Linked DNA regions of Styela clava. The main gene of each other region encodes a partner of the protein of the gene in region 4 in a complex. Links are inferred from orthologs where the notes say so. Each region holds a gene or a part of one and is shown on either strand. Other genes may lie near its edges. The genes, in order: protein lin-37 homolog, protein lin-54 homolog, protein lin-52 homolog and protein lin-9 homolog.

Region 1 (6,736 bases), on a different chromosome or scaffold from region 4:
TGTATCCTCAGATACCAATGAGCTTGCAATTAATGGAAATGGTCGAAAGCCTCAGTATGGTATGAAATGGTAAAATGCCTAAACAGTATACGGAATAGGAGTTGGAAAAAAAGTATGAATTAATCGTCTCATCATGTATAAATTAAAAACTCTTCTCGGGAATGTGCTAAATTCTAAAATATGGAACAAATAAAATATTCTAACTAGCTTACATAATGCAACCAAAAAAAATCAATACAAAAATGCAAAATAAGGTGACTATTGCATATCTTGATTCATAAGTACTAACCCATGAATCTTGAGTTGTTAAGTGCTTCAATGGCATCTCTCGCATCATCTTCATTGTCCATATGAACAAATGCAAAGTTCCTGATGATATCACAACTTCTCACTTTCCCATATTTTTCAAATATATCAAGAACATCAGCTCTTGCACAATCTGATGGTATGTTACCAACAAATATTTTAACCATATTGAAAGGCTACTATACTAAACTTCAAATTCTGAAATAGAAAATCACATTTTATGTAAAGTAAGGTAGAAATAGAAAGGGCAAATTTTTTTGAGGCGACAAACTTTTCCTCCCAACAGAAAGATAATACACAAACATACGGAAAACATACATAAAATTTAGAATATTTCGTGGCTGCCATAGTCCCCCCACTTCATTAGAGAGGATTAATTAGACAAATATTGTAACAAATGGGAAATCCAATATTCGTATAAATGTCAATCACAATTAGTCGGTCTTAAACAAATGTCACTAAATTTGATGATTATCGTACTATTGTCTCTCTCATTGATAGCAAAATTATATTGTTTCCTGCTCAGTTTAAATTAATAACTCAGAAAGGGAGGTAAAAACAGGTTTCTTCCAAAATAAATTAGTTTATTGTTAAAAACAATATTTCAATTTGGTTACTCATATAATATAAAAATGTGAAAATGAAATGAAAATCTGAATGTGAGAGAATTGATGATTTTGGAAAAATTGAAACCATTTGCTACTTATGCAACAAACACAAAAAATCACTAAAAACAGTTTGCCATTGTATTTCAATGACAAAAAAAAATCTGGTAATATGGGGTTACAGATATATTATTTGAATTCTTGTGTCCCAGGTTAGGGTTGAATCCTACTTCTTTACTAAATAACATTTATATCTCCTCCAATTCATGCAGAGGCACTGTTACTGAAAGGTTTACAGTAAGTCAGTAACGGTGCTCCCGAAGTATGCGAACCAAGATGGCGGACATCGGAACGTAACATGGGTAACAGGTTAGGGTTAGGCGATAATTTTTTTCCAATTTTCCTTATTTTAGTCCTATTAACAGTTCGAAGACTAGCCAAGAGCCTCCCGTAGTATTTATAGCTAAAATTATGGCCTAACCCTAACCTAGTACGCATATACATTCCGATGTCCGCCATCTTGGTTCGCATACTTCAGGAGCCCCTCAGTAACAGTATTATCACAGTGACATTTTATGATATAGTGACTCCTTTATGTAAGATTACTAGCACAAAGTTGCCTGTTTGCCATATCTTTTAATAGTGCCATTCCAGACGAATAACGCTCTTCATTTTCTGCAGATTTTGCAATCCATTTCTCCCGAACATTTTTCCAATGTTGTAAATGATTTAATAGCAATGTTTCTGCTCTAGGTATAACCTTGTTTTGCTGCAAATAATCTTCCAGTCGATCGCTTGGTTGAGGAATGGGTGATGGGATACGTGCACTCACATATTTTCCATTAGGACTAAAATTCTTAAATGGTGTATTAGGGGGTGGAATTGTAACCGGCTCATCAGAGTTTCCATCATTGACGGAAGCCTCATCAAGATCATCAGATGGAATACCATGTACCTTTCTTGTGTATGGATCATTACTCATCCAAGCTCTACAGATTGGATATAACGGAGTATCTTCTGAAAATTGGGCCAGATCAACGCTTCGATCAAATAATTTCATAACACAAGAGTTTGCTTTCTGTTTTTCTTCTTTATTGTCATCTTTTCTTCGACGTTTGCGTGTGGACCTGGAACTAGATTTTTGAGGACTTTCGCTATCAGATATTGTTTTATTTTTATCTGATTGTAGCAACATGTTTTCAATGTCATTTATTTTATCACTGGCAGGAGACGAATCTCCAGCATTAGCCTTTGCTACAATGTTTTGAAGTACACTATCCAAATCCGCTCTTGCTTCATTAAAATCAAGTTCTTGTTCATAAGAATATTGAGACATCTTCATTTGTGAATCTTCTTATCAGTACCGTAATACCTGTAAATGGTAATATCAAGAACCTGAAACCAGTACAGCAGTAGTGATAATTTTTTAAATAATTACCATGTTCGAAAATTGGGGCCATGTTCATAACACGACGTAAGTACCTCTAGTTAACATCACACAGCCATTTTTGCATGGTATTCCTAACCCCCAGTCATTAAAAAATTACATCACTACGACATCACAGTAACGTGATGAGGCCCCCCAAACTATACTAACTACCATCCAAGACGCGCAAATGATTACCCGAAATCGAGCAAGCTATTTCTCGTCGTAACGATTATGATATGAGAGAGATCGCTAGCATTAGTGAGTTCATTATCGTTGGCGAAGATGCTATTTCGGGCAATCCTAGCTAGACTATACTTTGGCAAGCTCCTTGGCATCAGTACGGCACACTATACAGATCGAGAGACATTGTCTCGTTTCAGAGAAACCCATTTTACCGATGATCAAACACCCCTCCTTTGGGAGACGTCTGGACATTGTTGTCCTTCAATATCGATAATAATACAGTATAATGAAGTTGCGCAAAATACTACAAAAAAGCCCAATCTAATAACGTCATCGTTGAATTCCCCAGGAAAAAATAAACCGATTTACAGAAGGAAAATTTTTTTTACTGTGGCATTCGAGAAATTTTACCAAAAAACATCACGAAACATAAAGATAAGTATTGAGACAGGCATGGCGTGATATGAAGATCTGACGTGGTGCCAGACGCCCCTCATTTGTGAGACACATGGAGTGTTTGCTCTATTGAGCCAAATTCTTGGAATCTGGATAGTGTGCAGTATTGGGCGTGATTGTGAGGTCGTGGTGACGTAACCAATGGCGAAACCAGGAATTACATGTGCAAAAATGGTTGTTCCATACCAAATAGAAGGACTCACGGCATTTAGTGAACATGCGTCAAATTTTCGGGTCTAGTATAGTTTAGTACCATATGTACTTCCAGTGGGCGTAGCATAACGAATTTTGCATATGTTATTCCCAAACCTGTAACCCCCACCTGACTATGTCATCCAAAAATTGCGTCACTACGATATCACAATCACGTCATAGAGCGTGCCGAAGTATAGCTACGATCGCCCGTAATGGCATTATCGGCGCCGATAACGAACTCACTAGAGCCAGCAACCTTTCTCATATCGGGATCGTTGCGGCGAGAAAAATAGCTTGCTCGATTTCGGGTGATGATCATCCGTACACCTTGAGGGCTTTATTACGCTACTGGGACATGGTAGTGCAGTAGTGGCGTAATTTTTATGTGACGAAGCCAGGTGGGGGTTAGGAATGACATATACAAAAATTGTTGAGCCAGGCTAACTAAAAGCCTGGAAGTGCACGTGGTACTAAACTATACCAAACCCGAAAATATTCGGGTCTAGTGAAGTAAACGCCGTAACTGCTCAAGTAACGAGTGGAAGTGGTGACTCCTCTTCGGCCCATGGGCCACGGCCCATCAAATTGGGCCTCGGCCCATCAGGCTATGGGCCGCGGCCCATCAAGTTGTGTAAAAAAACTATTCACTTGGCTAACACAAACAGTCCCCAAACTCATAATAGAACTATAATGTAAAAAATCTGAACAAAATTTTGCCCAAACCCTAACCTGGTACACATACTACAGGAGTTTATTTTTTGGTTCGAATATTGACAATTTTGGTAAGATAATTAAATTTTTCCTGGCCTTCCTTTTTTTTTAAATTTTTCCATGTGGCCCAATTAGATGGGCCGTGGCCCCGACCCATGGGTCGTAGAGGAGTCACCACCCCTGTAGCAAGTAACGCCTAACAAAATTGTGATGTGAAATGAACGTCGTACCGCACGGGTACTGCTCCCGTATCGAGTTGTCTTCCTCCCGTTTGTCACATGCGTTTAGCGTATTGTGTTCAGCGTGTGCGCAAGACGGACTTTCATTTTTAGAAAAAATAAATAAATTTGGGTTGTATTTTCACATCATAATTTTGTTATTTGAGCACTTACAGGTACGGTACAACATTCATTTTCACACCACATTCGGACATTTGTGTTGGGGGTATTTAAGCAGGGGCTCTCATGTAGTTTCGTACCTAACGTACTTCTAGTAGGCGTAGCATAACAATTTTTTCACGCGTCAACCCTAACCCCCACCACCACACCATCCAAAAAATACGTCACAGTGACGTAATAGAGCCCTTCAAACTATGCGAACTGTCATCCAAGACGCGCAGACGAGAACGCGAAATCGAACAGCCATTTCTCTCGTCGCAACGATCCCGATAGGAGAGAGACCGCTGGCGTTAGTCAGTTCTTTATCGTCGGCGCCGATGCCATTTCGGGTGATCGTACGAGTATTTGGCAAGCTCTATGACGTGTTGTGACGTAATTTTTGGATGGCGTAGTCAGGTGAGGGTTAGGATTGGCATGTCAAAATATTGTTATGCTACGCCTACTAGAAGTACGTTAGGTACGAAACTACACGAGACCCTTTAAGCTAGGGGTCTCAAACTCAATATACCTGGGGGCCGCCGAAACGGAGCCTTGGTGAGTCCTGGCCGCATCGGGTTTTCCACAATAAAATCATTAAACTTAAAAAGTTAAATCTTTTTCTTTGTTTTTTCTATACGCGAAACATGTCAAAAATATAAATGGAAGTAATATCGCGATGGACCTTTCCCCGAGCATCTACTTCCTTGTTTATTCCGTAACGTGGGCTAATCAGCAGGACGCAAAAAGTGACGTAACAATAGACTTTTCCGCAAACGCTCAGACACTTGTGACTCAGAAAGATTTTCAGGCATGTTTGTAAACATTACCTCGTTTTTGCATGCTATTTGTTAGTTTTGGGTTGTGTTTCAGAAATTCAAGTATGAATCAAAGAACTCAATGATCATTCTGATTGCTTGGGCGTCGTAGCTTAATTGCCGTAATCATAAATTAGTCTAGAAATAGCTGTGATAGACTAGGTTAAATTTCTCTACCGGTACTGTTGAAAAACAGGTTGTTGAATGTTTTGAATCAAATTGATGACGTGAAACATCGCGAAGCCACCTCTAAAATAAGCACCAAGAATTTGTAATGGTGAAGTATAAGAAAATTTTCTTCGGGGTCAAAGGTCCATCGAATATCATGCCTACATGTACGGTACTAGTAGGTTACCGTACCGCATATTCCTTTCGGTGGATAGATTATAAAATATTTTGTTTTGCTCTACTTGTCCTGATCATATATCAAATGCATCAATCATTCTAACTGAGCTGAGTGACTTACGGGCCGCACTAACATTAAACTTTCATACCAAGGCGGGGGCCGCAAACTATCGTCCTGCGGGCCGCAATTGGCCCGCGGGTTTGAGACCCCTGCTTTAAGCAGTTACGGCGTTCGCTTCACGAGACCCAAATATTCTATAAGCATTTATCACTGTATCACATTGATTCACATACCACACCGTTATTCGTCCTTGTTCATATACTGATACTCGCCCGACCTAAACCCACTTTGCATTCGCTTGTCGTTTACCGTACCAATCCCTGCACACAATCACAAAATGTGTTACAGCACTCGCGGCATTTCCCCGGGTGCTAAATAGGCCCCACGCCATTTTTTCCTTTAGAGAGAGAGAGAAAGAGAGATTTATTATTTCGCCAACCAAAATAAAATAACAGTCATCGTAATAATAAATAATAACAATAAATTAGTTTGGTATAGACAAGAGGGAGTGATACGACTAGACGGTCATCAAAGTCAACTCCCCCTATTCACGCAATAATGTTTAAGATTCACAATTTCAAATGACTAAATATAAAGGTGGAACGAACATTCTAGAATTTGATAAATATGATGATCAATTTTTTTATGTTTGCAGAGGAATGTCAAAGTAAGATATGAGACGATTAAATAGCAAACAAAAAATGTAAACAATTAAAACAGTATGAGTTGTTATAACATCAAAATACAATAAGTCTAACATTTTCATTACCGGTATCATAAACCATATTATATTTTTTTCATACCGGTATCGGTACGTACGGGTTCTAACCATTGAGGTGTATATAACTATAGAGGGTTAACATAACCTCAATGGTTCTAACGCGAAAAAATTTTTCAACCACGGCAGCAAACACTGCACCAAAAAACATAAAAAAAAACCACTGGAATAAAGCTGGGAAAAACAAAATGGAGAAAACTATAGATTTTTAAAAGTGTGGATGAAATTAGGAGACTGGATCCTTCAAAAACGTTGCTGCTGTATAGAGACTTGATTTCCGATATCTTTTTAGAAATATTTTCCTATACATTTCACTACCATTAGCTAATTCGGTATCCAATATAATATTATGTTTCTCTATTATAGTTTAATTTTGTCTGCGTGAATGTATGTGTATTGCGTGCGTGTTTTAATTTATTTAATACTTTTGGGTGAGCAAATACGTACCACCTCTTTCGACAGCACCTTTCAATTT
Region 2 (7,557 bases), on a different chromosome or scaffold from region 4:
CGCGATTTTGATTATTATTGAGACAATGATAGCATGATCTGACGCATCTGCCGTCGTGCCATATCAGACTGGATTCTGTGGCCCTGGCAGGTGCACGCCTGAGCATGTTAGGGTTACGCGACAAAGCACGCGAGCAAAATTTATTTTGCACGCCGTAATATTTGTGATTGCTCACTATTCACCATTATATCTGACAGTATTGAGGGTGAAGGAATAAAACAGTTGCCAATAAACAGTACTAACAGGTTCTAACATTACAAACTGACCGATTATAGTCAACACGCAACTTTCAGCTTTTACAAACATGCCAAAACCCATGGCGATTAACAACCAAATGGGCCTCTTGGAACGTGAGGCTTTTTGTTATCTTTATGCTTGTGCCGATTAATTGACCTTTGACCTATGCAAAAATACACATCGTCACCGGGACTGTGTGTCAAAGCCCCAGTTGGAATGTTTTATATAACACTACACTTGTTCATTCAAGTTTGCTTCTCAAATAGGACCATTCTGTCAGTTTCACGCTGGCAAATCTAGGTATTCACACGGTTTCGATAAATTTGCAGGCGTGCTCAGAAGTTTGGCATGCCATGTTTGCACTCCGGGATTGTGATTGCATGCCCGATTCCTTTTGAAAAAAAGGCTATGAAATCCAAACCCCCTCGTATCAAAGGTAAATTGAGTGTTTGTTTTATTGAACCGAATGTCGGTACATCTTGGAATATGAGGACTGTGCCCTACTGTATTTTTCAGAGAAAGAGGAAAGTCGATAAGATGACTTAATCATACTATCATATGACAGTAAGACGACTAGGCCGGTCTGGATTTTATGGCCTTTTTGCACAAGAAATCGGGCGTGCAATCAGAAATTCCCGAATGCAAATCAGAAATCCCGGCGTTCAATTATAGATCACAGCGTGCAAAACGAATGTGCCAGTGTGCAACTGACTTTGACTTTAGATACTGTCCAGTACATCCGCATAAAATTGTTGGGTAAAAATATGTTAAATCGGAACAAATGGACATTTGACCCCCAAACATTTTTCTATACTTTGTCATTAATTTTGGGAGTGTTTGTGTGACTTTAGATACCGACACTGTTCAGTACATCTGCATAAAATTATTGGATAAAAAATATGTTATATCAGAGCAAATTGGACGTTTGACCCCCAAACATCACTTATATACTTTGTCATTAATTTTATGAGTGTTTTAACGTAAAATTATTGGATGAAAAATACGTTGAATCAGAGAAAATGGACGTTTGACCTTTGACCCCCAATCATTGTTTCTATATTTTGTCATTAATCTTGGGAGTGTTTTTGCGTCAAATTATTGGACGTGGAATACACTGTGACCAGTGTCGGCAAGGAGTCTGGCAATATTTTCGCCCATAACTATTCTCATGGGATTCTTATCATTCAACACGATGCGCCACACCGGCAAGCAATTATGGAATAAGATCTTTTTTTTAGGATTAGGATTTACATACTTATCTTGTGGGAGAGGAAAGTATGATGGCTCAATCATATGGCTAACCACGGCCTCTTGTCCAGTTACCAGTCCTTGTTGGGTACAGTATGGGATCAGTTAGCCAGCTATTTGTTTCAGTAAGCATGGACTTGGGACTTTTTTGCTTTACATTTTTCGACCAGGCCAAAGCTTGCAAGCCAGTACAGCAGTATGTAGTCAACAATTGTCTGATTGTGGAGCTACAGTTTGTTAGCATCTTTATATTATTAGATTATTGATTTAAAAACCATTTTAACCGATTTCCATTGGTTAGCAATTGCAAATTTTTGGTGTGCAAACTTGAATCCGCTCGCGTGCATTTTTGCGGAGCGCTAGCGCCCTCGAGCGTGCACCTGTCATGGAATCCAGTTTGGCGACTAGGACTGCCTCCTATCCATTTCTGCATTTACTTTCCTAATAATGTTACCAGTCCGCCAGTTCAGGTATCTGTTTGAGATATCAGAATGACTGATGATAACTGCAGTACCGGTACCGGTACCGGTACCGGTACTGGATTAAGGAATTCAGAAATTCGAGCCTGTAAATCCAGAAGTTAGTTCTGGGTAATTGGGGGTGCAAAGGCAGAATCTGAGAATGAGAAGCATCTTCCAGTCTTCGTACTGCAGTAATGTCAGACTGTCCTAAGGCAACAATGCTTAGCACTATTGTCCTCTGCCAACAAGCTCATGATGCTGAATTACTAAATATCAATGCACTTCTGCACTTACAGATATCAAGACATACCGTACCCACTGTACAACAATAACGACGGTGTGGCACATGTCATGCATGTCTGCATGTTGTTGAGCGTTCGGAATACGCTCACCTCCCAGCCACCACAATCCCATACCTCTGTACCTGCATATGTACAGCCATACGGGTACCACAGTACTGCAGTACCACGATATGTGATACCCGACACTCTGACATGAACTGGTAACCGGACTGCCGAATGAGAGGCTTTCCATAGGATTAAGTCGTCTTAATGGCTCAAATATGTAAATTCGATCCGATAAACCACACAACAGCATTGACTGAGCAGTTAAGTCTGTAAGTGCTGAAGTGCAAATGTCGGGAAGTGCCTGCCAAGCATGACATAAAACTGATTAAAATTTGTTATATCTGAGCATATTCTGTAATAGTAATATCGACCTGTTGATATACAGATATACGAGAATTCAATTGCTGTATTGACAGATTCCTGGATTCAGGAAAGGCAAATATCCTGGATATAGTCCACTCCGCCGTTATTTTTATTAACCTGAATACCGTTACCGTACATTGCCCTGCTGTATAGAAGTAAAAGCCATAGCAAAAATTTCTGAAAATATGTAAATATATCTTACCTCGCAATAAAACGTAGTAAAACCAGGCATACAACAACTGACTAGCAAAACAGAAGCACAGGCAGCAAAACGTCTTTCAAAACTTTCCGCGATGACAATCGCCCATTTTCGTCAGGTGATCAAGGTCGATATGACATCATGATGCGGTTCATCGACGATTCAATTTCGCGCCAGTAAAAGCCACAAATCGATTTTTATAACAAATATGGATAAAAACAATTGAAAATATTGGGCTATAATTCTGATTAAAAAGATATTATTCTTACTAATAATAATACTGTATGAAGTAGGTGTGATATGAATCGACTGCAACTCTTCTTGATATCTGCATTATTCTATACTAGCCAACGACTAACATACCGATACTAGCCGTACGCCTGCAATCGAATGAGACTGGTTTTCTTAAGAAAACATTAGTATTAGAACTAACATTTTTATATAGGGGGAGGAGAGTCGATGACGGCTTCGTCATATGACAAACCACAGCCTTTCGTTCGGTTACCAATTCATTTTGCGTTTGGGATTATTCAGCCAGTTATTATAGAAGTCCCAAATGGCGGAATTCGGAATACAGTAACTCAATATGGACAAAAGCCGTGATAATGTCACAATCGAATTGCATCAATTCATAAACATGAAATACTGGTTAATGTGCTGAACATATTAAAATAAATGGACAATTCACCAAATTCTCAATAAATATATATAGGCTACAGAATTAAACTTGGGAATAACAATCATGTCATTGAGGTAATCGGCCTTGGTTTTGGTTTATCCCCGTTGGTGAGGATTAGAAGTATCTTATGAATAAGTCATTACTAAATAACTAAATATTTTTAAAATATAAGCATTAATATTAATTTTTGGAAAAGAAATGTAGGCCTACATGTAGATTGCTCTTATTATTGGACACGAGGTAGACATATGGATCGACTTGGTGTGGCATCGTTGTTGTGGAAACTAAGTACTTATTTCCAACTACTGGGCCAATTGCTTTAGAATTGTCAGTGGTTACAGCTTGTTGTCGTTGCTAGAAGCCTTATACTTTTATTTATTTCAAAAATATCTGTTGGTTCCATGAAATTTGTTTTTCAATCGAAGTTTTGTGTGATGAGGTCAACAAAATAAAAATTTTGTGCGTAGTTCCGTGATCACATTTAAATGATCCTGGGGACAGACCAACGACGACCGCATAAAAAAAATAATGTCCGAATCGAACAGTATGTCAGGTTTTTAGCGCACAGCATGTCGGATATTTGAAATCAATGAAAACTTTGTAACTTCAGCTCGAACAATAAACCAACGGAAGATCTTGAAGGAATGCCTATACATATGATAAAACTCGTTTGAACGTTAGCGAATGGATTCCTTCATATTTTCCGTATCTGAACACTTGCGTAATACTTGTTTAAGACATAGTTAACTGGAATTCTGAATACGTTGTCGATCCAAAATTTAATAAAATTGTCTTCGATGAAACGTATGTTAAAATACATACGTTAATACTATTTTTGACAATAAAGGGGTAGTGATTATGGAGTATATAGGTCTACAAGTTTTTTTCTATAGTGATATTTAATATTACTTATGAATCTTCATGAAAATACACGGCTGACTGTAACATATAGTCTATTCTAGTGCAGCGTTTCCCAAACTGTGTTCGTCTTCCGAGGAAAGGGGATCAAAATTACGACTAAATTGGTCCCCATGACGATCTCGGGGTCGTGAAGTTGTCGACCAACTGGTGATCGTTCAATATCGCGTCACCGTCGTCCTGAAGCGGACTAACTTTTTGAGGGTAGTAGCATTTTCGTTAACCGTCAGCGTAGAAAGGTAAAATGAATTAAACCCTTAGTATGCAAGAGAGTGCGAAACATGTCATCGGGGGTCTTGAAATTTTACACTAATAGAATTCCCCTAATAAACAAATTCTGTATAGACTCTGTCCTCCAATTCATCTGTCTCGCCCTTTTTTCTTTGGTCAAGGATCAAGGAACGAAGCATTTCTCACAATTCACGAGCTGTTGGTTTATGTCTGAACAAAGTCCTGAATTATCATTTGAATTTTTGAAACCTCGAACAAGTTCCTATTTAAGGATATGTTGTGGAAAACCCCGACCTAGTCAAACGATGTAACTTTCAATTCACAGCAAAATTAACCAGGCAGTTCTGTCCTATAAATATTATATTTATTCTAAGTAGCCCAAAAATTGTAGTATATCAACAACAATATTGTGAACAATTATCATTCGTGATAAATAGCGTAAATCGTCGCCGTTGCCCAAAGAGTTGAATTAGCAAAACTGGCTCCTGCCCAGTTGTCACGTTTGTCGTCCCAGAGACATCTACTACCGACTCTTACTCCTTGATCTTTTATCTGTCCAATATTTACCAGTACAATAATCTTATGCCTGAAACGTAAAAAAATGTAAAGCCATAAAAGATATCGAAAATGTTCTTGTAAGTCATATTATTTCAATATTGGCGCAAATGTTATCGCGTGTCCTGTTTCTATAATAATTATACGAAATCCCACCCATAGTCAATATAGTATGAAATACCTCATTCAGAGCCTGTATTGTAAACCTCAATCAGATTAACTCAACGGATAGGTGGCGACATCAACAACAGTATTTGAAATTACGCACACATACATATCTGTTGCTGTTGGTATATAATATGGCGAATCTTCGTAACCGGTAAGGGAGAGAGCGTCAAAATAATGCTGTATCGAAGTTTCGTTGATATTGATTATTGAAACTACAATCTCAATAAAGGGAGAATTAAACGCTATATTTTCTATGAGAGCAATATTTTCTTAATCGGGGGTCCGCTTACCTCAAGGGGTTCAAAGCATTTCCAGTGGGTCCCCCAAAATTGTACTTTTTTATTATTTAAACGCTGTATTACAAACTCAAAGGATGCGCTTGCCAGTATACAATAATTATATCTTTAAATAATTATTGCGATTAAACAATTCATGGATTAACGGCCGATTAGAGAAACCCGAAGTGAATGTAATATCCCCTTATAGTTAGACTCATCATATATATGAATTATGAAACAAACAAAAAACGGGACATTGGGCAAGCCTTGGTGCGATTCCGAGACTTAGTAATATTTTAGTATCTTAGTAACATTCAACTCATTGGAAAACGAAAACTTCCTTCTGAGCATTTCGAATAATTTAATGTAACATATACTAGTAGTTCTCTCTCACTCGGAAGTAAGTGGCAAATCAGTGGTGAATGATCTGCTCGCGCCGAGAATTTTTTTTTTGTATTAATATTTAATATAAAAATATATTTATAACTGCCATACTGTATGACCGGGACATTTAGGTCCACCGGGACGTATAGTAAAAAGCCTACTTATAGTAGATTTAACAAACAAAGCACTGTATTCGTTCAGAATACTACGAAATGACGTTACAAATCGCTAAGCAAAAAGCCTAGCACGATGGGAGAAACACTAGTAAATCTTAAAGAGTTGAAGATGATACAGTGGATTTGGGGAAAACTAGTGCCAAGAAAATCCAACAGGTCCCTTTGTTGTTGCATGTTTTCATGGGACCGGATTCTAACTCAAAATTACAAATTATTAAAGTTGTGTTGCCGCACTGTAAAGGTACGTAACTACGTTGGCGAACGCAGGGATGCGCAGAAATATTTAAAGGTTGAGAATCACTGTGTTAGACAGTTGTAACCGAACGACAGATTTAGTCTCTTAGTTACTGGCGAACCGGAAGCCGACAAACAACATCAATAGCCGTGTTGTATATCCATGGCATCTTTCTTAGACGTAGAGAGAATGAATCGTGTCTAGCCACCAAAGTCAGTGTGATTTGAGAGCTGATAATGTTTGAAATTCGCAACGAAATGCCCCAATGAAGTACGGTATTATAATAATTTGCAGTTGAACACACCACAATCAGGAGCCACTTCTAAAATTCCATAATACAACCCTTTCACCTACAATAGGATATTTACGGGTGCTGAAAATTGTGATAATTTTATGGAATATATATGAGTTCTGAACCTAAAGTAGGATTTTATATTTATCGCAAAAATGGAGTACTAAAAATTGCAATCAATAATTCAAATATAATATATGTTGGAAATTTAATTCCTACACTATATCTGTATGACTATTCCGAACCTGTGTGAAATAATTTTGAGTATGTCACAAAATTCAATGCTTTGCTCGGAAAAATCGTTCCTCATTTATCCGCTTATAAAAAGCACGCTTATAAAAAAAACATACCGAACGCCATGTCCAATAGGGGAGTCTCCACTTAAAATAACACAATCAGTTTTTCGTCCCCAACTTCTGTGATTATAATTCAGACACGAAGTCACGACTCCACGCTTTTACTGTAGTATATATTATAAAATCGATGCAACTCAAATCATTCGTTTTTAGCGCGATCTGACTATAATGAAGGTAAAAAACAAAGGATCTTTACTGTTCATTTCATTTCTGATGAAATGTACGCACCTATCAAAAATTTTGTCGTTGTTTTAATGCACTACAATGCAGATCTATCTTCAACCATATTTACAATCTTTTGTACAATTTCCAGACATTTTGCTTTTATTTCAATTTTATTTTCTGTATGTTGTGTATCAAAATATCGGAAAGAATCACGATACACAAACTGCTCAGTACAATGGCGCGATTCCGGGTATTCGGGAAGCGA
Region 3 (5,575 bases), on a different chromosome or scaffold from region 4:
CTGAATTGATCTTTATTTTACCATTTTTCATGTAATTCTTTTTGGTAAACCTGTTATCTATCGTAAATACAGCACATTTGACAATGTTGTAGTGTGACTATTTTGGCCTCACATTTTTGATATTTGTAGTTAGAGCTTTTGGGGCTCTGTCAAACAAAGTTACATACAAAATATTGATTGTAAATTGCAAAACATGTTCAAGTTGTTGGAATAACTTGGCATTTTACCACCCGTATATCATTCATTGTTGAGAATATTAATAAAATCATAAAATTTAAAAATCCGTTTTCGTGAAATTTTTGTTGTAGCTGAATTCCAGGGACAGCATGACAACAGGCAAGAGAAGCACGGTCGCCTCTTTTAGTTTATGACAGGGTTTCTTAAAAGGGGACCCCGTCCTCCTTGGAGGCCGCTGATCGGTTATCTGGGAGCACGAACAAACAGATGGAAATGCGAATATATAATATATAACAATGTATTTTTATAGAAGATAAGAAGCAAAAGTGTTGAGAGTCTTTGGTAGTTTGAAAAGCATTGGCATGGAACATAAGAATGAACTACATTCTTTCCCAGGGATATACTATAAAATGTAGCAATTTACTCATTCTTGTTCTCGTGATATCATTATCTTTCACTGCGTCGTCGTGATCATCCCGCTGCATAATAATTCTCGCTAACAAATAATTGACTGTTCTCCACAGGGTGTATATCAACTTGAACCACTGGCGACTGCATTAGCAGGCTTGTATTGTTAATTGCAACAAAAACCGGTATTTTGAAATAGTACTCTTTATTTTACGCGTATGTTTCTCTTTCGACAGTATTTACATATGTACAGTATATGGGTCGCGACCCAAAGCTGGGCTCAACAAATACCTAAAAGTTATTGATTTTATTTCCTAGTAAATTTGGTGCTTGCGTAGTTTGTGCACCAAGATTGCGCACAACCTGAACATAGTATTGTAACAGGTTGTGCGTCATTATGATGCACAGGTTTGACGAAAAACACTAATAATACAAATATCGAGCCGCTGCTCAAGGCTGCAAACTCCACACCCATGTAGAAATGATGGGCAATGACCCCAAGATGAATAATCACAAATAAAAAAAAGATGTGGCTCAAAGGGCTAAGCGTTAGGAATACGCTCGCCACCGCACCTCTAACTACTCTGCGTGGGTTCGCAGGTTCGAATCCCATGCAGGGATGGTTATGTGCGAGAGGATTGCTGGACTCCTTGGGTGGGTGGTTCACGTAACCGCTGGTCGGTTACGGCTTCCTCCACCCCTAAGTCCATGCTTCCGAAAACAAACAATACAGTAAAATCTAATCCCATACCCGACTTGGAATGGTAACCGGACGAGAGGCCGTGGTTCGCCATATGGATAAGCCGTCTTATCGGCTTTCCCCCCCCCCCCCCCCGGGATAAATATGTAAATCCTATCCTCCTATCCTAAAAACTTTATATCTGAAATCAAACTTGGCCAAAAAGGTCCCCTTATCTGCCGGACTATAACATGTCATGACTCATGGCGGGCACGTATGCAACGTTAACTTGAAAGGCAGCAGTCACAGATTTTGCTGAGCAACACGGCTGACAAACGCGACGAGGGCGGTCATGTTTGGCGGGATGAAAAGTGTTTTTATCAATTAAAATGAAACAATAAACTTTTCGGTACAATATCGGGTTCCAAAGGACGGATAGTCAATTGAAATATAAGATAAATGAAATGAAATTCTGATGCAAGCACGTCTATCTTCAATTACAGATAATTTGCTGAGGACTCTGATGACTTTAGATAACGTATCCAGGTATCTTAGATATTGCCCTAATAAAATTAGTAAAAGATGTCAAAAGAATCTGCATATTGAATGTTTCAATACATCAGTATGTCACTTGTCACTCATTTCTGCATTTACCGGTACTGATTTATTAGGCATCATAGCCTATAAGCTATAACAGATTTTTGGTATGATTGGGTTGATTGTCCGTTAGTCAGTTCTGTTTTATGATCTTCTGCTCTTTATGGTTGATTTAGTAAACAATAGGCGCTGCTTTGCTGTATGTTCAGTTGTTCAATGGTAGTAAAGATCAATATTTTTGTACAATATACAGTTAACTAATAGCTTATTGTTAAAAATTTAATATCAAGTACTGTACTTAGACTGACAAAACCTTACATTATGGAAGCTTTTCGGAGTCTCATGTCTTTTTTAATGACTCCTGTGTGTTATGAGATCTTTTTTACTGACTTCAATTTTCTCGACGTACCATGTCTGAAAGCAGTGATCAGCAAATGCTTAGGATATGGTATTATCATGGGAGCAGTTCTTGTAAAAGTACCTCAAATTCAAAAGTTGTTGAAGTCATCAAGTGCGGTGGGAATGAGTTTTTCTTCTGTACTGTTGGAATTGTATGCAATCACTTCCATGTGTGCTTACAGCATTGCTAGAAGTTTTCCATTCAGTGCATGGGGTGATTCATTCTTTTTGCTCATCCAAGTCACAATTATAGCCTGCTTGGTACAATACTACCGAGGTAAACCTCAATTGGCCATCGTCTTCCTTGTAATTTACTCCGTCATACTGTTCGTATTGGTATCTGGTATCACTCCCACAAATGTTCTTGCAGCGCTTCAAGCAAGCAACATGCCTGCCATAGTTATAGCAAAGATGATTCAGGCAGCTGAAAGCATTAAAAATGGACACACTGGACAGCTGTCGGCTATAACTGTTTTCCTGACTTTCATTGGTTCAACTGCCAGAATTTTCACTTCAATACAAGAGACTGGAGACAACATTGTTATTCTTACATATATAGTTTCTACAATCGCAAATGCAGTAATATCTTTTCAAATCATTTATTACTGGAAAGCCACTGAAGAATATGTTAAAAATTCTATGAAAAAGCAGCAATAAAGTCGAAGGATGGCTGAAAAAACTTCCAATTTTTATTAGTAGACCAATCGGGTGCAGATGAAATACACTCTCTTATACATGGACTGTTGTAGTTATTTTAGAAGAGATAATATTTTATTGCGCAATGTTTTCGAAGTATTTAAAGGCATAATGTTTTTATTTATTCATTTTTTCCATTCGGTCAAAATCTTATCCTGCATATTGTTTTTGCATGCAATGTGGTTCATCACATAATTCTATAATAAATAAAAACAAACTTGTTTGCGATGATAACCAAATGGGTTTTAGAATTTTTTGGCATCTGATCAAAATTATTCATCAAAGTTGTATTTTTAACTGAACCAATTTCTTTTATGAAGCAATATTTGTATTTGTTATTGCACAAGTCATATTCCATCTCCTGCATCAAGCAAAGCAGTAAATTAGAATGTTTTCCTTCAAGTATTTTAGCAAGTATTCATGCATGTTTTCAATAATTTTAGACAAGAGTGCTATGTAAAATTTTATTTGTGTGCCCTTTTCAATAGAAGTCTGACAAGATTGTTTTTTTCCATTTGGTATTGAATCTCGTACCTGATGAGTAAATTAGAATGCTGTTATTCAACAAAACTGCAAAAAAAGTGCTATTTTTATTGAACAATAAGACTAATTTTGCCAGTAATGCTTCTTGTACAAATACTAGTTGCTTTGAAATCGAGAGGAATGAAATTGACAAATATTGAAATTGAACACCAAGTACTTCAACAATCGATAGCCAATGTAGCAACAAGATATCTCGCTATTCGTTGAATATTTTGTATTTAAATCGGATTCATTTTTGCTTTTTTAACAAAATTTGAACAAAATCATTTTAGAGTACTAGGTAGTACTTGTAAGCTTTGTACTATGCATTATCTGCCTATTACAACATGTGATTTGAATTAAATTGTTTTCTCAGTTTTTGGACATAGTTTTAGTTATATATTAAAAGCATGGCCAGTTCATCTGAACCAAATGATATCGACGAACAGTTGATGAGCTTTGAAAAGCTTGATAGAGCTTCTCCAGATCTATGGCCAGAACAATTGTCGAGTGTGTCAGATTTTATGTCTGCGTTACGAAGTCCGATGTCACCTAAATCACCGCCAAAATGGATGGCAGAGTTAGAAAAGGACGATATTGATATGCTACAGGAATTTGGTAGTTTAACAACTGCAAATTTATTGGAAAAAGTTCGTGGATTACAAAACCTTGCTTATCAACTAGGACTAGATGAATCTCGTGAAATGACAAGAGGAAAATTTTTGAACATTCTCGGAAATGGAAAATTGTTTGGGAGTTGATATATGGAAAAATCATAAATATTTATATGTTAAAATACTGGAATTTAGTGAGAGGGGGCTGTTTTATGCAAAAAATGCTTTAGTATGTTAATATCGTATATGGATATAAAAATATATGAGACTATCTCTATCAGTTATTATGTGCTTATCACATAAGCATGGACGATTGCTGCAACCTTCAATGCATATATCTTGACAAAACAAATTTTCACTGTATACTGTAATATCTTTGTCAGCCAGCTTGTGAAAGCGCTGTGATTTTGGAGTATTAGAAACTTGTTTAAATACCGATGTTGATTGTAGACATTGACAATTTGGTTAACATACCAAATCTAAATATTTCAAAATGTGATGCACAAAAATATAGTTTCTCATAAAATGAAGCATTTGAATGTTTATGATGATGGCTTCTAATTTGAAATTATAGAGCTCTCTATTCATAGAGTGGAGATAGAATCATTTATTCCATATCCTTCCAATGCAAATAAAGATATTAAGATTGATATTAAAAGGTGTCCTTGGTTTTTAAATTTGTATTGCATCATCCTCATGACAGTTAGAGCAGCCTTAAGCGACGTTGCCTGCAGAACATGTTTTATTACGAAATCCTCATATCTCGCTATCTCACCAAGCTGATGAGACTATTTGCATTATTGTGCTATGCTGTTACTGCAGGCCTCATATTGTTTACTTTATTTGTTGATTTTCTCTATACCAAAGAAGTGTGTTTTAAATACAAGGCCTGGGTGGCAGAAATTGTGTCTGTTATATTTTATACTCAATACAATTTTATAGGCAATATTTTATCTGTTGTTCTCTAGCTTTGTTTAAGTTTCATAGCCAAATGCTGATATTATGAAGGCCATTATTCAAAGAGTTATGAAAGCAAGTGTCACGGGTGAGAGTACAAGTCTATTCTAATTCTTCCACATTGCTGAAAAACTTTTTTAAAACAAATTTTAAATCACAATACCAGATAAATAGATAATTGTGCCATCTCATTTCTTGAATGACATCTATCATTCTGTAACCCTCATAACTTTTTACAACACTTATTTGTGCGTTTTGCTCTGAACACGGCCCTGTTAAAGCAGCCAGTGATATTTAACTTAACATTTATAGGGGCTAATGTTTTTGGGAAGACCGTAATCTATCTGGATTGGCATTACCTACTCAATTTATTACACTATAGGTAAGGTTGTGAGATTCGAAACAGAGTTGTGTAAACTGCGATGCCAGCACTCTCAAGCCTAAGGCTACAACCACTAGGGCTTGTGCCACTCACTCTCTTTTGTACCACCTAAATTTACTGAATTGTAAATTTCAGCTTGATCTT
Region 4 (7,847 bases):
GCGTTACAGGTAGACAAAGTCTTTCATGGTCCCCTTATTTTCGTAGACGTAGATGAAGTAGACCCAACAAAGTGATCTCATATTTGGATGAAGTTATAATGTATATAACAAAAATCGACTTTTCAACGATGTTTGATGCAATATGAGATTGTAATTGGATGTAATAAAAACTGTTCGGTTATATATCGACTGGTTTTAGTTTTATCTGCATCTTTTCAAGCGATATGTTATCGCAGTCAGCCACTATTCTTTGCAGTTGCGTATATTTAGTGTAATATGAATTTCGTGTTTGAAGAAATAGAATTAACCTCGCTCGACCATGGCGTTTTATATTGCATTTGCCTGCTCAATAATCTGAGCCAGGGTTTGAACGATACACCTGTATATTTCTCATCAATTTTAGCCAAACAAGCATATGGTTTGTTACCAGTCGATCATGGTTCAATACCTCTGAGATCGATGATTAATGACAAAAAAATCTGCGAGAAAACACTCACAAAGTCCTGGAATATTGAGAGTTATAAACTTTCGATGCTAATCTTATATTCCCCTCATACAACTATAAGAGAAAATACCAAATATTCTAAAATATTAATAGGAATGAAGGAACCTTCTATCCGTTCTTCCCAATGTAACGCTATGCGAATTTCAATCACTTCCGTTATACCACGTGACTAACGACAGCGCTAAAAAACGCGCTCGCCGCTGCAAGTGCAGTAAGTATTCTGTGGCGTTTGCAGCTGCCGCAAAACCATGGCGGTGTTTTCATACCATGGCCGCTACGGCCAAACCTATGGCGACTGACTTTTTAGCTGCCACAAACCAATGACGAGCTGCCGTTACCGCGGCAGCAAATTTAAAACCAATGGCAGGTAAAATTTTGCTGCCGTAACCACGGCAGGTGGGGCCGTAAAGACAGGGCTGGTGGCCGTAAAGACAAGACCCTTATGGTGACAAATATTGGGTAAGTTGGAACGTTTTTCTTATGGATACAGTTTTTATGGATTTTGGGTTAGGGTTTAAGTAGATATAGTTCCACATAATCAATTAAAATCTGGTACATTTGTTTGTGAATATACCGTTTACTGATTACTGAATACTGAAAAGCCCTATAAAACCATGGCAAGAGCTGCCGCGGTTCGTTCGTGGCAGGAGCTGCCATGAAGTGGTAAGAACTGCGCCTCCGCCGCTGTGCCACGTTCTCTTCATAGTTGATTTGTCTCTTATTTCCTCGTGGCATTGTTATTCCCGGTGGCGTTGATCGCTTAAAATTAGGACTCTTTGTGATACTAAAAATATCAGGCCAATGGCAAAAACGAAAGCACAATGAAGAAAATCAGATAGTTACGCTGGAAAAATCAAATGAAAACTTTCTTTTCGAGCATATTTAGATGTTAAAAAATGGATGTCAAGTTACAAAAGTACCCGAGACGTTCATGTTAAATAATTTAAACATCAGAATTCACAATAAAATTGTATACTCAGTAACAACTATTAATTAATTTGGAATATAATTCGATCATTTCGAAATAACTGAAACAATAGCATAAGCTATCTGAGAGACGAACTTAGATATATGAATACACAATGAAAAGTTATCGTGTATCGTGAAAAGTTATCGTTAATACTTTTCTGCATTTCACCTTTTCTATATATCTACAGTATTTGTTGGTGGATTATTATGTTTCTTTTTCGAAGTTTCTAACTCGAAGCTGTTAGGCGGTAAAACTATTCAAACAAGAACAACAACAACATAATATTGAAACGATCGTTATGTCCACTACGTGTCCAATAATAAATTGGACTCTTTGTCCAATAAATAGGCAACTTTGTAACGTATAGAGCAGGGGTCACCAACCCGTTGCCCGCGGGCACTAAGTCGCCCGTGAAGACCACATTAGTCGCCCGCAGGTCTGTTCCAAAATAAACTTAATAACGACGCTTATGGGTAAGCTGCTTCAATTAATTTTTGTCACGTTATTCTTGTATAAATCACACTTATGTCTTATTTGGGAACTGGGAACAACACTATGTTAATTGATATGGTAACGATCATCCTAACTTTTATTTGACCTCAGTAATGTGACGGGTCATTTAATACTCTCCCAATTATGACATCACACAGATGTCACCTTCGTGTCCGTTGATTTGTGGAGCAGCAATGCCAATAATACAATTATTGATTTCAAAGAAAATGGCAAAAAATCGAAAGAAAAGCTACCATTTTCACGATGAATGGGAGGTGGATTTCCTTTTACCACCGTGAAAACAGCTTGCGTATGTCTCATTTACGGGGCGATTATAGCGACGACAAAGCAAAGAGACATTTCACATCTTGTCACTATTCATTGGTGAGCGCAGTACTTTCTCCTTGTTGAAAACAAGATATTTATAATTAGTTGAATTTGGTTTCAAATGTAACATTCGGCAATAAAAGTGTTAAGTTCATTTCATCTTAGGGTTATGCAGGGTGTTTGTAAAAAAGTAGGTACATTGTGGACCTGTGGTCTCCGAGGATATTATTGTAGTGATCACTTTAAAATCAATTCGAAAAACACTCATTTTGAAAATGGAAGTGTCATTGCTAGTAATTTATTTGCTACGTTGTGATAATCGTTTGATTTCCTGAAGAAACCTAAAGTTTATCAGTGTTTTTATTAAATATCAGTAATTATCAATATTTGAAGGTTAATCGAGCAAATCGACTTTTTTAAAAGTGTGCATCAAACTGATAGCCCTCGGCTTAATCGGTACCCAGAAAGTAGCCCTCGGCTTCGAAAACGTTGGTGACCCCTGGTATAGAGATTGGAATTGATTAATGGTGCAAACCGTACAAAATTAGCACTTTTTCACGTGACGCACAAGATTTCCTTTTGGGCCGCATTTGGCCCGCGGTCAGCAGGTTGCATACCCTTGATCTAAATAATCGGGTTAGCATCAATATAATACAATTTACTAGCTCAAATAGGAAATGCGTCAACTTTATTTCAGAATATGATACTTGTAACATCACATGATATAGCGTCAACATCAAAACCGAGTGTAATTTTACTGCAAAGTGCAATAAACACGACATTTATGTTCTAAATTCTGAATGACGATCGGTTGTTCAGAATGGGAAATTGTTTAAGTTGTATGTTTCTGTCTTATATCTTTCGTTAATCTAAATTAATATATTCTCACGAACTTCCACTGAGCCCTCCGTTTGTGATATCGAATAATGATGACATTACAGCAACCGACAATAGGAAACATACAAGTAATTTCTGCATGACTCAGGTCTGTTTTAAATACTTTTGCTAATGAATAAATAAACAGCTGAAATTAGTACAGTTTAGAAATTATAGTAGGCGTTGGCCTCAAATTTCAGGGATTTCCGTCAAAAAAACTCGTTCATAACATGGCACCCTTTTAATAATAAATTTGGTCTTTATTAACTGCATATGGCAATGGTTTTAACATGTGACGTCTTGCGTGCCACTTCAAAAATAGCAAGCTAACAATAAGCTACAAATAACAGGAAATGAGAGATTTTATTCTCGAAAACATGTTCAAAATACATGGATGTAACGTAAATAATGAATTAAATAAAAAATTTGAAATGTAAATATTTTAAATGGAAACGGGCAAGATCTAACAAATATTTTTAATTAGCCTCACACCTCGAGGCAATTGTCTTCGCTATTTCTGTATTGCACGCCCTATCGTTTGAGAATCACTACTATATGATGCAGAAATAAACGATAATACAGCGCCACATAACTCAGAGTGTGAAAATTTTTTAACAAAATGTGAGTAACTTAAAATCCAATTTTAGCAAAGGATTTTTTTCCGTAAACATCGATGTATGAATATGCGTTTATAATTACTAATTTGGTTCTAAAGCTACAATGAGCGGCGCTCCAGGAGTGTGTGTACTAATATGGGGTAACTAATTTTGTTCGCCTACTTTACATCAAGTTGTGTAAAAGAAATGAAGTGTAAGGGCAGGAGGTATATTTACTTGATTAACGCAGCCAGTCCCCGAACTAAAGTAAAGAAAACAAATTGTAATAAAATTATGCTCTAAAGCAGGGTGGTCCAAGGTTGTCGGCTCCGCGGGACACATATTTATTTTTTTATTGTTCGCGGGTCACAATAGTGCCAAGAATAGGTAAACATTGCAATACAAAACAAATACTTTTATTGTGCAAACACATAGTTATCAGACATAACCATCCCAGGCTAATAGAATCCGCATTCAATTTTCAGTTTTCTATGATACCTATAATCTTAGCATATATTCCCGACCAAAAATATAGAAAGCCAGATAATAATTTAGACTGCCAAGCACATCATTCAACTACGCTAATTGCCTCGGCTAGCCATAACACTAGTCAATTAGGTGACATTAGTGATGTGACAATATATCAAAAGATTTTTCTGATTAATTTTATTACGAAACAACACGATATGCGATTTATTGATTGCTCCCCGAATGTGACGCGGACCACAGATAATGAAGCGGCGGGCCACATGTGGCTCGCGGGCTTGGGTTTGGACCACCCTGCTCTAAAATCTAAATAAACCTAACCTTGCTACACACACTACGAAAGTACCCAATCAGCTACTTTGGACACGATTTATAATACTTGAATGCTTGACTACCCAAAATTTGACAGCTTTAAAACGAATGTGCACAATTGAAGTATACCATTTGATATAGAGTTCTGAAAATATTATGCGGTTATGACTACAGTTCATTAAAAATTAGTTCATGTTTCATAATTTGACATAGTGCATCGTAAATTCTAGTAAATTTTATGACGTTATTGATTGGGACGTCTTTGCAGTTTCGCGCGAAATCCGCTTGTTGATGATTTGAGAAAGTTAGTCCGTCGTTTCGCCGGTTTCCTGCATATAGCCTACTGAGCAAGGTGCTAAGGCCTAAATATGAGTTGGAATTCTAGTCCGGGTATGTCTCCGAATCGACCACAGAGAAGCAGGAAAAGAAATAAGCTAATATATTATGGTGATGATGACGTCTCGAGCGAAGAGGAAGTTAGAATGAAGAAGCGGAGAGCGTTGAAATTGCTTGAAAGTCCACTTGCCGCGGAACAATCTCCATCAAGTTCGATTGAAAATGAAGCAGTTGTGTCTTTACCTGTGCCTACGTTTGCACCATCTACTCCTGAAACGCCCAGTGGTGCTAGTACCAGCTCTAATATTGCGCAGAGCAGTGTTGCAGACAGGACAATTGCAAAGAAAATAGGTTTTCGTCTAAAAAATCTCCTCAAACTTCCGAAGGCTCACAAAATGTGTATTTATGAATGGTTTTACTCACATATTGATAAATGTTTATTTGAAGGTGACAATGATTTCTTACTTTGTTTGAAAGAATCTTTCCCTACTCTGTCAACAAAGGGTCTCACAAGGGCTCATTGGGCAAAAATTAGACGAATAATGGGTAAACCACGCCGGTGTTCTGGAGCATTTTTCATGGAAGAACGAAACTCATTAAAAAGTAAAAGATTCAGAATTCGTCAACTTCAGCAGAGAAAGGTCAGTGCAGATGATGGGTTTACATTCAACGATCTACCAAAAGAAATTCCAATGTCACTGATCCTCGGTACGAAAGTAACAGCAAGACTTCGCGGATCCCATGATGGCCTATATACTGGACGAATTGATGCTGTTGACGTTTTAAATTCATCTTACAGAGTAACCTTTGACAGAAGAAATCTTGGTACCAAAGAAGTTCCTGATATTGAAGTTGCCAGTGATGACCCTCAAGAGACAATGCAACTCACGTCTCTTATCGATAGAAAAAGGCCATTTTATAATATGTTTTCCCCTATGCAGCCAGATTTTAATGACAGTCTTCAAAGTCCCACAAATGAACATGATCCTGTTTTGGGTCAGTCTCCGTTGCGTAGTAAATTTCCAGGCGGAACTGGTGGTACATTGGGGGGTTTCCCAGTTAAATTCCTCGTTCAGGTGGCCCGCCTTTCAAAAATTTTAGCCATCAAAAAAGAAAACTTACAATTACTCGAGCAAATGAATTCACAAGCGGAAAAAAGTCACTCGTATGGAGAGACTCTGCCTATAGAGTTTCAAAGAAAATATGCAACCGTTGTTTTAGAACTTGAAAGACTGAACGCAGAGTTAAATTCTCTGTTACTCGGAATACAAAAATTTTGTTTAGAGCTCTCTCCTGAGAACACAATTTTATGTGACCAAGGATCGCACGTTAGACAAACAGCTATGGAAAACGCAGAGCAAATGGTAGAGAGTAAAAACTTAACTACAAATGGGAAAAAAGCAGTCAAAAATTGTGGCCTCACAACTCTTGTGAAACAACTCACTGCCATCATGATGCAGATTCGCTATCTCAAAGAAAATAACGGAAATCCTTTCGAATTTAAAGCAATTACAGATTCCATGGATAACATAAAAGAAAAAATTATGCCTGAAAATATGGAGTCTTTCCAAAATAATGTTGAAATTCATATAGCTCATATACAAAGTGGAATGAACAGAATTCGAAAATAACAAATTGAACGACACTTATTTGACATTATTCAGCGATTATATATTGTGATTATTATATATTTATTTGGTCTTATAATCAGACGATCATGATACATGGTTCAAGTTATTGTAGGCATTACATTCCTGGAAATTTTAATCCATGACCTACATGAATTACGACTGTTAGACATTTGTCCCTTATTGAAATACTAATGTGTGAATTGCATTCTAGTTATATACCTCTCTCATTTACTCTTAAATGAAGATGTTTTCACTGCATTTTCTTTGCAGTATTGTTTTGTGAACTCTAATTAGTTTTATAGTTGATGTGTTTGCGACATAGCCAACTAAGACTATACTTTAGCATGACAAACTTATTTTTTGCGAATAATTTTATTGTCTATTAAATTCAATATTACTATTTTTACTACGAAATGATGATAAAATTCAGACATCGAAATTTTTTTGAAGAAAAGACTTTAATAATTAGTTTCCACAGAGTAACTACATCATTTTTAATTGCATTTCAACTTTGAAATAATTTTGTTATGTGTTGTTTATACAACAGACTCGATCACTTTATTTCTGCTATGTGGAATAGTTTGCTCTATAACTGTTTTTTACTTTGTAATAATCCCATTTACTATAATTCATTGACTGAACAAGTAAGGCAGTGGTCGAGTTTAATTTTGGAAAAATAATTAGCTCAATTTATTTCATTCATTATTCTTTCTTGGTGAAACTATTGGTGACTGGCAAAATCTTATCTATGGAATATACATTGTTGAATTTGTACTATTTGGAATTTTTTCATGGTGTTTGAACCTAGATTTCCTGAATGTTGACCCTATTTTCCCTTATGGATCACATTCAAATAATCTTGGCGAAAAATCTTAGGAAAATGTCAAACTGTCTTCCTTATGGAGAGTTCTCTCTTATTCCCATTCTTTAATCAATATCTCAATCGGATTCCTTCACTCGGAAAGAAGTAGTCCTAAATAGAGTAAATATTCTTATTTTCTTTATTTGTATTCGTTTCAACTTCATCTAATGTCTCCTATTTGCTTTCCTATATTATTATAAATTTGTCGTATTTGGATTACATCTCTAGATAAATTCTATTAGCTGTATGTCTAGCTTTAACTATTTGGAAATGGATACAAGACTTCAACCTCTTGATGATATTCTGAAAGACAAAGAAAAGGAGATCACAAAATTAAAGAAAAATTTGAAAGAACTAAATGAAAATTTGATTAGAGCAGCAGAAGCGGGTATAGTATATTGAATATGTAACTCAGAGCAAGAAATTGATGTGTGATTCTGAGACAAAGTTAGTT

Evidence for each region.
Region 1: the proteins of protein lin-9 homolog (region 4) and protein lin-37 homolog are in contact, whole or in part, in a crystal structure (PDB 7N40), measured with the Homo sapiens proteins. The link is inferred for Styela clava from reciprocal best matches to the Homo sapiens genes LIN9 and LIN37. Residues at the interface, in NP_001353174.1 of Homo sapiens: Lys99, Ala101, Ser102, Gln103, Lys104, Ile105, Gly106, Arg108, Leu109, Arg110, Leu112, Leu113, Lys114, His119, Trp121, Cys122, Ile123, Glu125, Trp126, Phe127, Thr227, Leu237, Phe238, Leu272, Ser273, Asn274; in NP_061977.1 of Homo sapiens: Tyr95, Ile97, Leu99, Phe100, Asp101, Arg102, Val104, Leu106, Ala107, Phe109, Ser110, Glu111, Asn112, Thr113, Pro114, Leu115, Tyr116, Ile118, Cys119, Arg120, Trp122, Met123, Asn125.
Region 2: protein lin-9 homolog (region 4) and protein lin-54 homolog share a complex: the UniProt entries of both Homo sapiens proteins name them as parts of the DREAM complex. The link is inferred for Styela clava from reciprocal best matches to the Homo sapiens genes LIN9 and LIN54.
Region 3: the proteins of protein lin-9 homolog (region 4) and protein lin-52 homolog are in contact, whole or in part, in a crystal structure (PDB 6C48), measured with the Homo sapiens proteins. The link is inferred for Styela clava from reciprocal best matches to the Homo sapiens genes LIN9 and LIN52. Residues at the interface, in NP_001353174.1 of Homo sapiens: Leu335, Gly336, Phe338, Phe342, Leu343, Ile344, Val346, Thr347, Leu349, Ser350, Lys351, Leu353, Met354, Lys356, Lys357, Ile360, Leu363, Arg364, Asn367, Thr368, Ala370, Glu371, Lys374, Ile382, Phe384, Gln385, Tyr388, Ala389, Val392, Leu395; in NP_001019845.2 of Homo sapiens: Asp61, Met64, Leu65, Leu68, Gly69, Leu71, Thr72, Thr73, Leu76, Met77, Val80, Leu83, Gln84, Leu86, Ala87, Leu90, Asp93, Glu94, Glu97, Met98, Arg100, Gly101, Leu104, Asn105, Ile106, Leu107, Glu108, Pro110.

Annotation. Positions count from the first base shown.
Region 1 is NC_135253.1:13,439,313-13,446,048, reverse strand, and holds protein lin-37 homolog, read right to left. Parts: upstream 2,417-6,736; 5' UTR 2,254-2,416; coding exon 1,504-2,253; 3' UTR 503-1,503; downstream 1-502. Other genes in the region: uncharacterized protein LOC120326047, read right to left, coding at 290-473.
Region 2 is NC_135260.1:20,924,102-20,931,658, reverse strand, and holds the start of protein lin-54 homolog, read right to left. Parts: upstream 3,009-7,557; 5' UTR 2,859-3,008; intron 1-2,858. Other genes in the region: dynein light chain Tctex-type 5-B-like, read right to left, coding at 5,104-5,269. UniProt on the Homo sapiens protein: Component of the DREAM complex, a multiprotein complex that can both act as a transcription activator or repressor depending on the context. In G0 phase, the complex binds to more than 800 promoters and is required for repression of E2F target genes.
Region 3 is NC_135251.1:22,036,047-22,041,621, forward strand, and holds protein lin-52 homolog, read left to right. Parts: upstream 1-3,888; coding exon 3,889-4,239; 3' UTR 4,240-5,060; downstream 5,061-5,575. Other genes in the region: mannose-P-dolichol utilization defect 1 protein-like, read left to right, coding at 2,183-2,917; D-aminoacyl-tRNA deacylase 1-like, read left to right, coding at 5,095-5,137.
Region 4 is NC_135259.1:13,480,126-13,487,972, forward strand, and holds protein lin-9 homolog, read left to right. Parts: upstream 1-4,829; 5' UTR 4,830-4,932; coding exon 4,933-6,531; 3' UTR 6,532-7,626; downstream 7,627-7,847. Other genes in the region: protein Spindly-like, read left to right, coding at 7,640-7,781. UniProt on the Homo sapiens protein: Acts as a tumor suppressor. Inhibits DNA synthesis. Its ability to inhibit oncogenic transformation is mediated through its association with RB1. Plays a role in the expression of genes required for the G1/S transition.